Linked DNA regions of Schizosaccharomyces pombe. The gene in region 1 interacts genetically with each later gene. Each region holds a gene or a part of one and is shown in the gene's direction. Other genes may lie near its edges.

Region 1 (4,862 bases):
TCCATTCAAGGCATTGGCAATGGCCTAATTTTACTTCAAACCTTGTCAAGAAGACACGTAACTAACACATTAATGATAAGCCAACTTGCCGGTTCTGCCACCTCAATACTTGCACGCTTTGTGTCGCCAACAAAGACTGGACCAGCTAATGTTTTTCCAGATTTGACTGGATACACTCCAGTAGACCGTGCAAAGCCAGTGGCTAATGCTCCGTTTTGGATTTGCCTGATCTTGAATGTAGCTCTATGTATCATGTATCTTCGGTGCTATCATAGAGAAAACATTAGCAGACCGTGATGATTTAACTATTTCTTTTATTGAGATCGTTTTTAGTCTTTTTTATGATTTTTTTTCAAATTAATAAACGTCATGTTATTGTACTTTACCGTGATTTTTAAGAGTAGAGAAAAGCGTGTAATTTAATTTATAATGCAAGATATATTGATACGGGTTAATCAATTTACAGGTTGATTTTATTAAATAATTCATTTTATGCACTAATTTTATCAAGTTGCGATTTAAATTTTAATTAGCATATGAGTTATTAACAACCGCATATTATTTCCATGGTACCAGAACACACTACTTTTTGAGGAATTCTTCGGATTTGAGAATATAGCTTTACATACGAATATTTTTATTTACTTCAAACGTTTTGAGGATTAAAGGACATGGAATCGAAGTCGTTGAGAGAGTTATGGGAAGAAACTGAGAAACTGAAGGATTCATCAAGCACAGATGAAAAAACAAGATCTGAAATTGTGGAAGGCTACGAAAAATGTTTGAAACTTGTTCTCCAGTTACGAATTTTTTCTTCAAACGAAGAAGTAGATGAAATAAAAACCAGCGAATTACGATATTTAATGATTGATTATGAACTTGCCAAATGTGTGGAACAATGGACCAAAGGAGATCGACTAAAAGCCGTCCAGTATGCAAAAACTCATTATGAAACATTTCTTAGCATTTGTGATGATTACGGACTAAAACCAATGCAAGATGAAAAACCAAAAACTGAGGCTGATACAAGGACTCTAAAAATCGCCAGATACAGAATGCGTCAAAACCTTGAGAAGGAGTTAAAGGCTTTGTCTAAGGACTCGGAAACCAATGAAGAGCAGGAGAGGAAATTTTGGCTCACTAAATTACAAATTGCTGTTGAAGATACATTGGACTCCCTTCCTCATATAGAAATGGAAATTGATTTACTAAAGCGAGCACAAGCAGAATTAATGAAATCAGAAGACAGTCCAGAGAAAGATGAGGAGACTCTTAGGAGAGAGGAACGAAAGCAAAAAGAAGGATCTTCTTGGCGTTTGGACTTAAATACCAGGGACAAGATTCTGGACAAAAATAATCGGCCCCTTCAACCATTTACCATTGTATCGGATCGAAATGAGACTCGAAAAAATGTTTTTGGATTTGGCTATAATCTACCCACCATGACAGTTGATGAGTATTTAGATGAGGAGATGAAACGTGGTAACATAATAAGCCAAAAAGATAACCCCCCTAAGTCAGACTCCGATGATGAAGATGATTATGAAAAATTGGATGCAAAAACAATGAAAGATCGTTACTGGGATGAGTTTAAAGAAGCCAATCCTCGCGGTAGTGGAAATACTATGGTAAATCGTGGTTAAATGATTTAACTCCCTGATAGATTAACGTATCATGGCTTTCTAGTAATAAGCCAGAATTTGCTGGTTTCCTTGATGTTTCTCTCTATTTCATGAGTCTAAGATATGATGTGAACTTCATAACTAAATTCAGTTTATGGAAAATCGACTTATTAAATTACAGATTTGTTTTTTCTATTTTACAAATAAAAAACGAACCCTTTTATTTTAAAACTGTTTTGACGATTTAACTTAACCTATTTCTCTCATGTTAACCACTGAAAGTCTTTTCTGCAGAAAGCATTCGAAGTATTGGAAAGATGGGCTTCAAAATTAGTACCTTGAAGTAGAAACCTTTCAATCAACCTATAAAAATACTTTACAGATGTTTTTATGACAATTGAAATGCATATTATTTCATACAGAATACGCTTTTATACTGCAGTGCTGTATTCTTGATTAACGAACATGACCGTCTGAAATTTTTTTAGTTGGTTCGTGAAGTCAAAGGTCACTTGGCTCCTTATAATATGGTTACTGCAAGCTCGTCTGTTCGAGTGAGCAATGAAGATGAATGTTTTATTTATGACATTGAACAGTTGAAGGACAATGTGGTGGTGAGCTACTCTACTGGTTCGTGGAGCTGTTTTGACAAGGGAACCTTACTTGAAATTTTTAAAGTGCCTAAAGCGCACACGAATATTACTGGAATCATTAGTTGCGATCAGTTGAACGGCGTAATAACTTGTGGCTCCGAAGGAGAGATACATTTGTGGGATATTCGTTCGCAGGCGAAATCTGCAGTTCGATCGTGGACTCAACAATCTACCCCCTTTACCTGCATCGCCTTGAATAAAAAGAACCAGTTTGCAACGGGTTCAGAGTTAACTCGTTCGTTGGCTTCTGTACAATTGTGGGACGTTAGAAGTGAACAAAAGTTAATTAGACAATGGAACGATGCACATAATGACGATATTACTCATTTGCAATTTCATCCAAAAGACAATGAGTTGCTTCTTACTGGGTCAGTAGACGGTCTGGTGAGTTTACTAGATACTACTAAGGAAGAGGACTCGACTGATCCCGAAGAAGATCCTCTTTTACATGTGATTAATCACGGGGCCTCAATTCATTTGGCTAAATTTGTTTCTAAGAAACGAGTGATGGTATTGTCTCACATGGAGTCTTATGCCATGTACAAGCTTAAACGTGATAAAGACGAGAAAACGTGGAGCAGTAACGAGTTATTTAGTATTGACGACTTGCGTGCAGAACTTTCATGTAGCTATGTGATTAACGAAGTTTCGACTAGTGACAAACAGTTTTGTGCGTTGGCTTTTGGTGATTTTTCGAACCATGAAACTAAGTTCGTTCTTGTGGATACGAGTACAGGTGAGCTGAAAAAAGAACCCACCAAATTGGAAAGAGCCTCGGAAGAAATTTGCCGCGCCATCAGTTTTGATGTAAAGAACGATGTTTACTATAGCGGTGGTGAAGATGGATTACTTCAAGCTTTTAGAGTCTAGTCATTTTGAATTGTTATAAATGTTGTTAGAGTTGTATGCACGAGCGCATTTCTTAGTTAAAGGATGGAAAAATTCGAAGTTATTTAATATAACTAGCTCTCTCATTCCAAGGGAAACGGTGCTGAGATGATCATTTGTTCATCACGTTGTTTATGAAGATGAAAGCCACTTCATTTCATTTTGTTTAACGTTGTTTGCAAGAACTCTCCTTTTAAAATCTTAAAAAAAATCTCTCCTTTTTTCTTAGAATTTTGTTTCATACAGGTACAATGGCTATCTCTGTTTTTGTTGTTTGGTCTGTTTAGGCCCATACCGGCATTTTATTTATTTTTTTTTTTTTAATAACGAGTTTTATTAAGAAAACAAAAAAATTAGTACACGAATTGTTCTAGTGTAAGGAAACAATAAAAAACCTTACGAGGTATATGTAAAGAATATGTATTGAGTCGATAAAATGTAAGACATGAGTATGCAAAGTATTCTTATCATTCCAATCTCACTGTATTTTGTGCTCTTTTAAATCCTTTACAGTCAACGTTACTCATATTATCGCTTTCATGTTGAAGCAAAAGTCATCGTAGCCAATTGAACGATGAACTATTACCATCTTATGGTGAAAATAATCAATTGTGGCTTTCTTGTTAGTAATACGTTCGTTTTAGCAACATTATTCCAAGCATATTTGCAAGTACATTCAATGTATATCGAAGAAGATTTAATTCTGTTTATCAAACACTGTTTACTGAATACATTGAGCATATTTTAAAGTAATATCGTCCAGGACACTATGCCTGAGTGGTTAAAGGGACAGACTAGAAATCTGTTGCGGTCTCCGCGCGCAGGTTCAAATCCTGCTGGTGTCGAATTTTTTATTTTTATAACGACTCTCCTTGAGATTGCAATGAAGACCTTTTATTCATTTAACAAGGATGTACTTTAGTTGTAGAAAAGTACTCTTTCACATTGCTGCTTGCATGTAATTGTTGCAGATGGAGATGGTTGTATACGCTTCTTTATTAGTACTCAAGTTTAAATTGGAAATGCGGTACTAATTGAGCAAATGAAAAGTACTAAAATAATGTTTCCATAAATTTTTTGATTCCTTAAAGGCTTTATTTTCATACTAGCAATTTATAATTTTTGAATGGATATAATGTTCCCTAAGGAGATATGCCTTAACCTCACTAGCAATCCAAGTTAACTAATACTTTACTATTCACTATATAGTAAATATGAATATAAGTTTAACTGTTATGATTAAGCAGCAGATCAAATCTGAATAAATGAATACTATACGTGTTCTCTAAGATTTCTATTGAAATGCGGAAAAGATCATCCTTAGTCAGTAGCAAGCCGATTGTGGTTGTAAACAAGACTAGCAATGCGCTGGTAAAGATATATCACCTTTCTTAATAAGCTAGCCTGTAATTTTTTTTTTTATTAAATATATAATCGCTTCTTTTCATCCACTGTTAGCATATTTCAAGTTATATAACATTATCTTAATAAAAAAAATAAATTACGAGACATGGCATTTTTTGCCATCCAATATGCTAAAAATTATAACGAACGATAATCTATCGCTAATTATGATTCAAGGTTGGTTAGGAAATTCACATTTTCAAACGAAGCATTTTCGGTGGGCTTTTTGAGGAAATTACATGGAAAAAGGTCGGGGCTACATTATATTATACATATAATTTGTTATGAAAGGATG
Region 2 (5,366 bases), on another chromosome or scaffold:
ATTCTATAGTATAATACAAGGGTAGAGGTAGTATCTGAAAAGTATTATAAAACTGTATAAAGCAATATAAATACAAGGGCGGTTCGATCCCGATTGCAAACGCTGGAAAATCTAGAAATATTGGAAAGTTGCTTCTTTCACCACTTTAGTAGAAGGAGTTGGTGATTATTATGATATTATTATCCATTCAAATTTGAATCTCTTAATGCGCACCGTTGCTACGTCTTGTCTGCGTCAGGTGGCGATCCCCATAAATATTGATGCTTGTCATAAATGTTGCGAATGTTCGCCTACGTATTTCATTTTGACATTTACAATCATAAAAGGATTTTAGATCCTTTCCATCTCGAAACAATTAATCAAACTATTCAAGCGAACAAGAACTTTTTATTTTTGGAACCATCATGTCAATTATGCGCTCAATTATGTCGAACCGCCTGGTTCGCTGGTCAAGAGAATATCCAGAACTATTTGTAAGCTCAATTTTTTTTTGAAAAATATATTGAGTTGATTATTTCGTAAGCTGATCAGTTTGCTGTTAGATAACTTGGTGTGTCATGACTTATACCTTTGGAGTTGCTGGTTATATGCTTGGTATGTTAAAAATTAGTAGAAAATTAGAAATCAGCGCAGTTAATGAAACATTATACTCAATTTTAATATTCTGTTAAAATTTTCCTACAGAATATTTATTTTACAAGCGCATTTACATATGATTGTTTAAATTAAATGATTGTAGCTAACAGTTTTTTAGGACAGCGGGGCTTGTTGGTACAACATGAAGATCAAGTCCGAATTCCTTCAAAAAATGCTCACCCCTGGGAAGACACCAAAAGCAGTAGCGGAAAAAGTGATGAGAGTCTTGATTATAGCTACAAGTATTATCCTCGAGGAGATAGGAGTAAAGAACCTCGAAAGGCACCTTCTGCTATTCAATACAGCACTTTTCCCGTTAAAGGTGTATCAGAAGAGGTACTTGAGCGATTCTCTAAGTAAAGCACATTAAATTGTGTATAACCTTTTAGGAATGAAAGAGAACAATTATTACATTGCCAAATATTTTTTTAGTGCTTTTTCACTTTACAAATATCTCACTCTCTACTTTATGGTAGGCTCTCATTTTTGGAATATTTGCCCTGATATATTGCAATATTTCCAAACATCTTCTTAGTTATGATTTCTTGCTTTATTGCTTTAATGTATAAAAAAAATATTTGCTTATTAACCTGTGTTTGAAAACGGAGTTTAGGCACCACTTTACCAACTTCACAATTTATACAGCATTTTGAAGATAATGATAAATTTGTAAACAATAACAAAAAATAAGCTTGTTTGAGATTTTCAAATAACTTAAATTGACCTAGTACTTGTTGTCGTTTAACGTTAAGCTTAATCAATAGCCGAGTAATTAGTAAATGGGACTTGCCGAAAACAACGCTTTTCAACTTAGAAAATTTAGCAAACCCACTCATACCTTTTAATAAGCATGGTCAACGCAGCCATAGTTGTTTCCTCAAATCGTCCAAATGTGCTTGAACAGATTTCCTCCTTGTTTAGAGATGGGAAGACTCGTTCTCTGGGGGAACAGTGGACTTTAGTATCAGGCCAACTTAAAGGAACGTTTGAAGATGCTAAAGACGCTTGTAACCGCATTTCTGCTACTGAGAATGTAGACTGTAATTGCTTGAGTGAAGCAACATTTTCCACTAAAAAGAAGCTTGTAGTATTTGACATGGACTCGACGTTGATTCAACAAGAGTGTATTGACGAGCTCGCGGCAGAAGCAGGCATCCAGAAAGAGGTTGCTACGATTACATCTCTTGCAATGAATGGGGAAATTGACTTTCAAGAATCACTTCGTCGTCGCGTTTCTCTACTACAAGGGTTGAGCGTCGATGTCATAAATAAAGTCATTGGCAAAATTACTTTCACTCCAGGAGCTAAACAGCTTTGTCATTGCCTTAAGCAAATGGGTGCGACTCTTGTTGTCGCTAGTGGTGGATTTGTTCCAATGGCTGAATATGTCAAGGGACAACTGGACTTGGACTATGCATATGCCAATGTACTTGAATTTTCCGATGATGGTAAATTCCTCACTGGAAAAGTTCAAGGTGCAATTGTAGATGGACAACGAAAAGCTTCCATTTTGCGTGAAAAGAGGGAAGAGTTGGGTTTAAATAAGCTCGAAACGATGGCTGTTGGGGACGGAGCTAACGATTTGGTCATGATGGCCGAATCCGGTTTAGGAATTGCGTTCAAAGCTAAACCCAAAGTTCAATTATTGGTATGTTCGAAATTTTTTTACAAATTTATGTTTTTAATGATCTTACTAACTCGATTTTTTTTTTTAATTAGGCTGATTCGAAAATCAATCTTCCATCTTTGCAAAACGCTCTTTACCTCTTGGGTATTGATGAGCAACAACAAAAAAAGCTATTGGAAAACAAAAATTAATTTAGAATTTCCAAGAATTTTTCAATCGCAAGGCGCTGTCAAGAACTCTGAGCTACTGTGGCTTGGTTTTTATAAAGCAATATTTTACTTGTGCGCGTGGTCTTTTTTTCTGTAGTAGGAGCCGTCTTTTATATACCCTACTTCTTTATTTTTGATACTCTTATTTTTCTTTTTCCTTAATTTACAATTTTGGTATGATCAATGCTTCATTGGAAAGGGTGTGCAATGAATGCTTAAAAAAAAAGGGGCAGTTCAGAAGCTTTCTTCTTTAAAACAGACAAGAATTACTCAATTGGTTTTTATAAAGCCGATCATTTACTCTTAAATCTGCTTCGTTATGCTGATAGACTTTGAAATTGATTCGTGCAATGACTACACCTTCGTTTCATAGACCTTTCTTTATTATCATTTATTAATTGTAAATAATACAATTGTATCTAGTTATTAAGAGTTGCAGAAAACATGTGCTTTTGACGTATTTCAACACCGTTTCCCTTGTATATATTCAGAGGTATTCATATACTACTACCCATGCGAGATTCATTATGGCTAAATCACCATTCCTGGAGCTTTCTTACGATATATTGCTAGAAATTAGTACATATCTTGATTATAAAGATATAGTTCATTTGTCAGAAACATGCAAGTCACTTTCGTATGTTTTTGACGACAAAACAATTTGGCATCGATTTTGTGCACGGGTCCAAGGTCTCACCAATGTAGTCCCAGTTGTTGATGATAATTACAAAAGACCCTATGCTGTATGGAAAGACCGAGGATACGCTTACTCATGGGGGCAACAGATAAGAAACTATTTGGGCCGCGTCGTCAATACAAATCAGTATCCTCGAGATCGTCCTGGTGCATTGACTGGGAAGGACGTTCGTTCTACTATTCAGGTTCAAGTTGGGTAAGCGCATAGATACAGGAATTTATTTGACTGCACTACAATGACTAACTATTCCCTATGCGGAATTTAGAGGTTATGGGATGTATTTATTAAATGAAAACGGAAATTTATATGTTACGGGGGTACCAAACAATGTTGGGCCCGAATTGATGAGAGATTTAGAGCCAATTGTGAAAATCCATGCTGGTCGAGAGTTTTGTCTTGCACTCGGTGAGACGGGACACTTGTATCAAGTATCTCTAAAAACACGAATTTGCTTGACAGATGAACAAAATATGCTATCAGCCTATCGCGGAAGAATTGCTAATTTTAAATCAGGTTGGGACTCGCATTCGGCGTATGTGCCGGGCATTGGCTTTCTTGTCTGGCACACTGGACGAGAAAGTGAAGCGCAACTTTTCCAGCCAGAGGCATCGATGAAGGAATTCGTGCTGAACGATTATGTTCACTGCGCAGGATTCCTAGTGTATACTGTCGCATCACCTCAGAAAAAAGGCGCCGTGTTTCGTTTAGACCTGGACCAAGCTACACAACACACGCTAGGAAGAGAATTGAAGAGGTTCGCTTCGCACGACCCCCATCAAGGTTGGCATTTAGCAGGCAGCTTTGAAACTTTCACATGTTTATCGGACGATGGCAATACTGTTTACATGGGTCATGCTAATACCAAGCAGGTCGATGATGACCCGGTTATCCACGACTTTCTCCAGAACCGAGGAATTAAGCAATTGGCGCATGGCGATCATCATCATCTTTACTTAACAAGCGATCATTCCATATGGTCGTGGGGTGTTGAATTACGTTATTGTGGGTGTTTAGGTTTGGGTTCTCTTCATTTGCAAGAACAGACATCTGATCCCAGCATTGTTTCTGATCCACGCACCGCACGCAACATCGTTTCCATTCCACATCAAATTCACTTTTCAGGAACTTGCTATTCAGTTGCAGCCGGCGGATGGCAAAGTGCTGCTCTCGCCATTTCGGAATCTGTTTTACCCGAAGTCAATGTGCCTCCAATTACAACTTTTTCTATCATCCGACCATCCAGAGTTCCAGCGTTGCGCTTTTTAGCTGCCCCTGCGACTCGGACTTTGGAAAGGGACGGCTAGGTGAAATAGTGATCAACTTTGCTTGGTAAGCTAATTTCCGCGTGCGCACTAGAGAAGGATTTTATTTTGTCCGCTAAGTAAGTGAAATAAATAAATATCTCGGCCACCTCGGACTTCCGAATTTATCTCTATTTTTACTAATTCCTCTAGGTAAGCCAATTATAAAAAAAAGCAGCACAAGGAAAACACAACGGTGATTAAATAAGTGAGAAAATTTTTTTTCCTTCTTCCTGTATCGCAATTACATAAAGTACACACATTGACCAATTTATATTCCTGACCCCTGTGAATTAAGTTACTGTGCTACTACGACGAGTTTTTACCAAACATTATTATTTTTTTTAATTGATTTGGACTGTAAGGAAGGTTACCGATTTTCATATTAAATCCTCGGTGGTCAAAATTTGTTGGGCTCTTGCTCTCTATTTGTCGTTTGCGTTGGTGGTTTGTAATATTCCTAACCACCCCATTTTTTTCTGGCGACCCTAACTTGGGGGTTTTGTTTACAGATCCAGGTGTCGAGAAAACCGGTATTTTCAGGCAGAAATCGATCTTAAGAGACGATTTTTTCTTGTTGGGTTGACTACCTTGTACCTGAAATCTGTTGTGCGAAAATTTCCAGATTTAAAAAATCGTGGATTGATTGAAGGGCAATTGAAGATTACGGGATGCTATTTTCCTTTTCATGCAATTAGCAAGTATTACTGATTTATTTGTAATTCCACAGTGTCTGATTTATTTTTGTTAACAACTATATTATAACACTTTTTTTTCTTTGCCTTCATCATCATCATCATCATCATCGTTGTTCTTTGTTTCTTTCAATAAGCATTTTGTCATTTTCTTTTATCATTATTGTCTTTTTTTCATATTTTTGTCGGTTGACTGATTGA
Region 3 (4,846 bases), 950 kb from region 1:
CCAATTGTTACGAATATCTTTTTTTCCTGCTTACCTTTATTCAATCAGACTCATGTATTTTGTTCAGCTCAATTTATATTTATAAGTAATGTACTTCTGTAGCATCCCACTCATTATAATAAATCGTTCTAATAAACATCGAAAACGCGTTATTAATTACAAAAAATAACCATGCTATAAATTTGAAGCATTCTTAAAATACTAAACATGAAATACAACTATTTTTTCTTGGCTAGAAGTTAGTACCAGCAAACTCGAAATTTGCCCACCTTCCCAAACCTCATCTCGTGTATGATATTACATCTTCTGCTTTCATGTACACCCATATTTTTCTGAACTACAAAATTTTTTTCTTACGCATTTAAATATAATTTATTAAAAAGGTCAATATGCTTCAAACATTAATAGGCGTTCACTCGTACATGCCATGGTGCTATGAAATTCCGGCAATGGCTATATTCCTTCGTTCTACTATTACATTGCCAATTGCTATTGCAAGCCTTAAAACGGCTCGTCGGTTTGTGCAAGTGCAACCACTGATCAAAGAAGCAAAGAAACGTTGCCGAACAAATACCGATTTCCGTACTGTACGAAAAAAGCTGTACAAAAGGTTCAATTGTCATCCTCTCATGATTTACGCATTGCCTATTACTCAACTACCTTTATTCGCGTTTGCATCTTATCAGTTAAGACAGGCAGTCGATGTATGTCCCGAGAGTATGTCAACAGAGGGTATGCTTTGGTTTACCGATCTCACATTACCAGATCCTCACGGTGTACTACCTGCGGTCCTTGCTGTTACTTATTTAACAAACATGTCTATATTGAAGCGACCTTCGGATTCTCGATTGCTGAAAATATTCAATACCGCTGGTATAATGTCTGCTTTCTTTGTATCTTTTATGGCATTTAAGACTTCTACGGCATTGTCTTTATACTGGACTACCTCTGCAATTTACTCTTTGGTACAAAACGTTGCATTGAGAAAGCTGTTATAGAAGAGCAAGAGTAATTCTACATGTTTGGTTCTGAAAGGTCTTAACAAAATCAAACCTGACTAGTCGAGACTCACATATTATTCCTTCTTTCTTTCCGTACATAATTACCTACATTCTTATGGTAAAGCTAGGTTTTTGATTTGTTATGGCCTACCAAAAGGAAAATCTTTTGTCACAAAACATCTGATCATGGCAAAAACTGACTGAATTAGTAATGAAAAATAAGATACTTTATTATTAAAATGCCAAATAATATTTAATAAATATCATTAGTATTACAGGCTTGTTCGTGTGACATGAGTTTGGCATTTCAAGGATGACTACCTGCAAAGCTTTTTGAGAAATGCAACCTCGCCGATTACTCCATTTTTAAGGAAGAATTTAACTATTGATTTCATGTAAGTCGTTTTTAAAATTTACATTTTTTTTAAAAACATTTGACTTATTCACACTGTTTATTACGTTAACTACGGTAAATTTCGATAATTTTCCCACTTGCACATCCTTGACTTAAGCTAACCACCACTATGAGCTGCATATTTTGTAAAATTGTTAAAGGAGATATTCCTTGTGTGAAACTAGCTGAAACAGCCTTGTCTTTGGCTTTCCTTGATATTGCTCCTACATCTAAGGGACATGCACTAGTTATTCCCAAGGAGCACGCCGCTAAGATGCATGAACTGAGCGATGAGTCTTGTGCAGATATTCTTCCCCTTGTCAAAAAGGTGACAAAGGCTATTGGTCCTGAAAATTACAATGTACTTCAAAACAATGGTCGCATTGCTCACCAATTTGTGGATCATGTTCATTTCCATATCATTCCCAAGCCTAACGAAGAATATGGATTAGGAGTAGGCTGGCCCTCTTATCCTATTTCTCCTGAAGAAATAAAGGCATTGGGCGAGGAAATCAGCTCTAAGATTAAATAGTTTTTTTTTGTTCTGTGTGTCTCGTTGAATCGAAACTTTCCTTGACTTGGCGAGAACTATAAGGAAAACATGAGCCCTGTCTTTGTAGAATAGGCTTGTGTTTTTCATGAAAGTCGTTATTGGGTGTTGTTTGACGTTTATGTTTTTTAGAAATGAAAAGTTTGTTTTATACACTTTTACCTACTTGTTTTACCTTTCCAATGTAAGTAGTTGCTGTTATCTTTGCATAGTTTAAGGTGAATAAAGGGATTTTGTTTAGTAGTGTGCATACGGAATGTATGGTACAAATGTTTGGACCTGTTATTCTAGTGATTAGAAAAGGTGTGTTTGAAGAACATTGTTCAAATTGTAGTCTAAGGTCTAAATATTAATCCATGCAGGGTAGTTGGTTTCCTAATATGAGGTTATGAAACTTGCAGACGGAAAGATTAGTAAATGTGCATCAGAGAATGTTTATTTCCAGTATCATATTATTTTATTGATGACCTAGCTTGTTTTTTTTCTTTTAAGAAAATGAAAGACATCTTGCGGCGTCAACTTAAAACTTGATTGTTTGAAGAAATTTTTGCCGGACAGCATTGAAGAATTCTAGTATTTTTAACATGCAAAATTATATTTGAGCCTTTCTATCAGGGTATTGCTAATAATTGATCAAAACCACTGCGATAGTATTTACTTACCCAAAGTAACAATTATTCATCAACCAAGTCACACTTGGTTTATAGTAGCAAGCTATACTGCACGAACAAAACTTTTATAATTGAGAGCGAATTTGTGGAATAGTCAGGCTTGATTTTAATAAATCCCTATTATTATCCTTGATCTCATAAAATTTAAGTTTCTTGGGTTGTGCATTCTTTATAGCACCAATGCCAACTCAGGCTGGTTTTTGTAAATTTGCTGAATTTTCGAACATTTATTAATACAATGGCAATTATTGTGGAAGACGGTTCTTTTATTACATCTTCTCAATGGGAAAATGTAGAGGCATCTCCAAAACCTCCTCCAAGGAAGCCAAAGATTGTTCAACCAAAAAAGAAGCCATCGAAGCACTTGAGCAATGAGGATGCTTTAGAAAAATATGAAATGCTGTTTGGTGAAAGGAGAAAAGAAGTGGAACTAGATTATATGAGCCACATTGCGGAAGAAGAGACTTCGTTGAGCATGATTGAGTATGATCGTCATTTTGCACTTCAAACTGACGTGAAATTGTCAAAGAAAAGAAAATCCAAACTTGTTGAAATGACTCCTAAAGGTTTGAAAAAAAGGAAACGCGTGCAAATACAGGAAGGAAGTGTGTCAACCAATACAAAAAAGCGTATGGACGGTCATGTTGTTGGTTCTAGCGCTCCCGCTATAAATAATGGCAAAGGAAAACAACTTTTAGAAATGATGGGTTGGTCTCGGGGGAAGGGACTTGGTTCTGAAAACCAAGGAATGGTTGATCCGGTTGTGGCTGTTGTAAAAAATAATAAACAGGGTCTTCATTAGTTTTTGACGAGGAGATTTTAAATCCTCATAGTGTATATTTACAAAACATTATTTATTTAGAAGGAAAAATTACTTTTCACCATCATTTTGGGAAAGTTTCTTTTTTATAAAGAATTTTATTTTTGGTTGCTCATCATGATGACTATATAAGAAATAATAATTAAAGGAATTTTACTATATTTTACCGTTGAGGGTACAATCACTTGAAATAATTCAATTTCATAAGTTTTTCATAAAGAGAGCAATAGAAAACTGGTAAGTTGAAAAACAGCTTCTAATTGTTAAAAGGACGGAAATACATATTTGGAAAAGGGGGAAGGAATGAACAATGATGAGTGCATTTACGTTAAAAATGGTTAAGTCGAATAGGTGAAGGACAGACTTATCTTCGAAATGGAAGAAAAAAGGAAAAACAGGATATGAGAAGAGATTCAGTAAGGATTATAAATTTAAGAGAGGAAAAGGCTTCGCATGCGAGTAACATCAAAAGCAAAAAGTGAAAAAAACTGTGTATACCCAGATCGCTGTACTGTAAAGTTTCATTTGGATTCTATTGAATAAAAGCATCAGTTGATCAAACTAAAAAATCGATCAGTTAATATAAACAAAATAAAAAAAAAGAGCATTCTAAACATATTTGAGCGAATGTAATAGAAACGTACTTTTTGGAACTTTGAGTTTCTTACTAGTCATAGCAATTCCACTCAACACAAACAAAACCACAAGCGGGTGAAATGCAAAAGGTGTGTTTCCACACCACTCACCCCAAGGTAGATTTTCATGAGTCTTTCCCTTTAAGATACAAACTCCGCAAACGGTTACTAAGGAGAGGGTGGTAGGAATGGGCGTTCCTTCGAAAAACTGAGACTTGCCAGATCCATCTTTAGGAATGGAATTGACAGAAACATTAAAACGAGCCAATCTAGTTAGACCACACAAAACAAAAAGGGAAAGTATAACGGTATCAAGGAACGTTTGGAATCCACAACAAAAGGCAAAGACGGCTGGAGATACGCCAAATGAAATCTATTTTGTTAGTATAATGATATAAAAAGACCGGATAAGAGAGAGAAAAAATATATATAATCAAGAATTATACGCAATCGCATGTTTATTGAGAAAAATTCAGACTCATTGAACAAACCGACATAATGTAAAAAACGAGAAGCAAAAAAAAAAAGCTCGACTTAGCTAAAATGAAGAAAAAATTCAACCAAAGAAGCCTCTTATCATGTTCCTCGTGTTTTTATCATGTCAAAGCAACCAATGTGAAAATAGTCTCGGAACAGATTTGAGAAGTTATACATACCAGATCAGCAAGACTATCCAATTCCTGACCCATTAAGGAAGATTTCCCACGCCAACGAGCCACTTTACCATCCAAAAAGTCAAAAAACAACGCAAATGGCATAAAGTACATTGCATTCC

The links.
Region 2: mutations in SPOM_SPCC63.06 (region 1) and pof9 together harm fitness more than expected from each alone (negative genetic interaction), as found in Schizosaccharomyces pombe (one large-scale study listed by BioGRID).
Region 3: mutations in SPOM_SPCC63.06 (region 1) and sqs2 together harm fitness more than expected from each alone (negative genetic interaction), as found in Schizosaccharomyces pombe (one large-scale study listed by BioGRID).

What each region holds. Positions count from the first base shown.
Region 1 is NC_003421.2:843,775-848,636, forward strand, and holds SPOM_SPCC63.06 (WD repeat-containing protein), read left to right. Parts: upstream 1-2,136; 5' UTR 2,137-2,149; coding exon 2,150-3,145; 3' UTR 3,146-3,578; downstream 3,579-4,862. Other genes in the region: spore wall alpha-1,4-glucan synthase, meiotic Mok14, read left to right, coding at 1-297; tap42 (TAP42-like family protein), read left to right, coding at 672-1,643; thg1 (tRNA guanylyltransferase), read left to right, coding at 4,860-4,862.
Region 2 is NC_003423.3:1,868,848-1,874,213, forward strand, and holds pof9 (F-box protein Pof9), read left to right. Parts: upstream 1-2,985; 5' UTR 2,986-2,999; coding exon 3,000-3,364; exon of another isoform or gene 3,365-3,434; coding exon 3,435-4,473; downstream 4,474-5,366. Other genes in the region: SPOM_SPBC3H7.08C (uncharacterized protein), read left to right, coding at 405-473, 543-594, 755-996; phosphoserine phosphatase Ser2, read left to right, coding at 1,487-2,284, 2,356-2,454.
Region 3 is NC_003421.2:1,789,918-1,794,763, reverse strand, and holds sqs2 (G-patch type RNA-binding protein), read left to right. Parts: upstream 1-2,689; 5' UTR 2,690-2,854; coding exon 2,855-3,418; 3' UTR 3,419-3,953; downstream 3,954-4,846. Other genes in the region: protein Cox18, read left to right, coding at 390-998; hnt1 (adenosine 5'-monophosphoramidase), read left to right, coding at 1,526-1,927; CDP-diacylglycerol-serine O-phosphatidyltransferase Pps1, read right to left, coding at 3,993-3,997, 4,081-4,444, 4,728-4,846.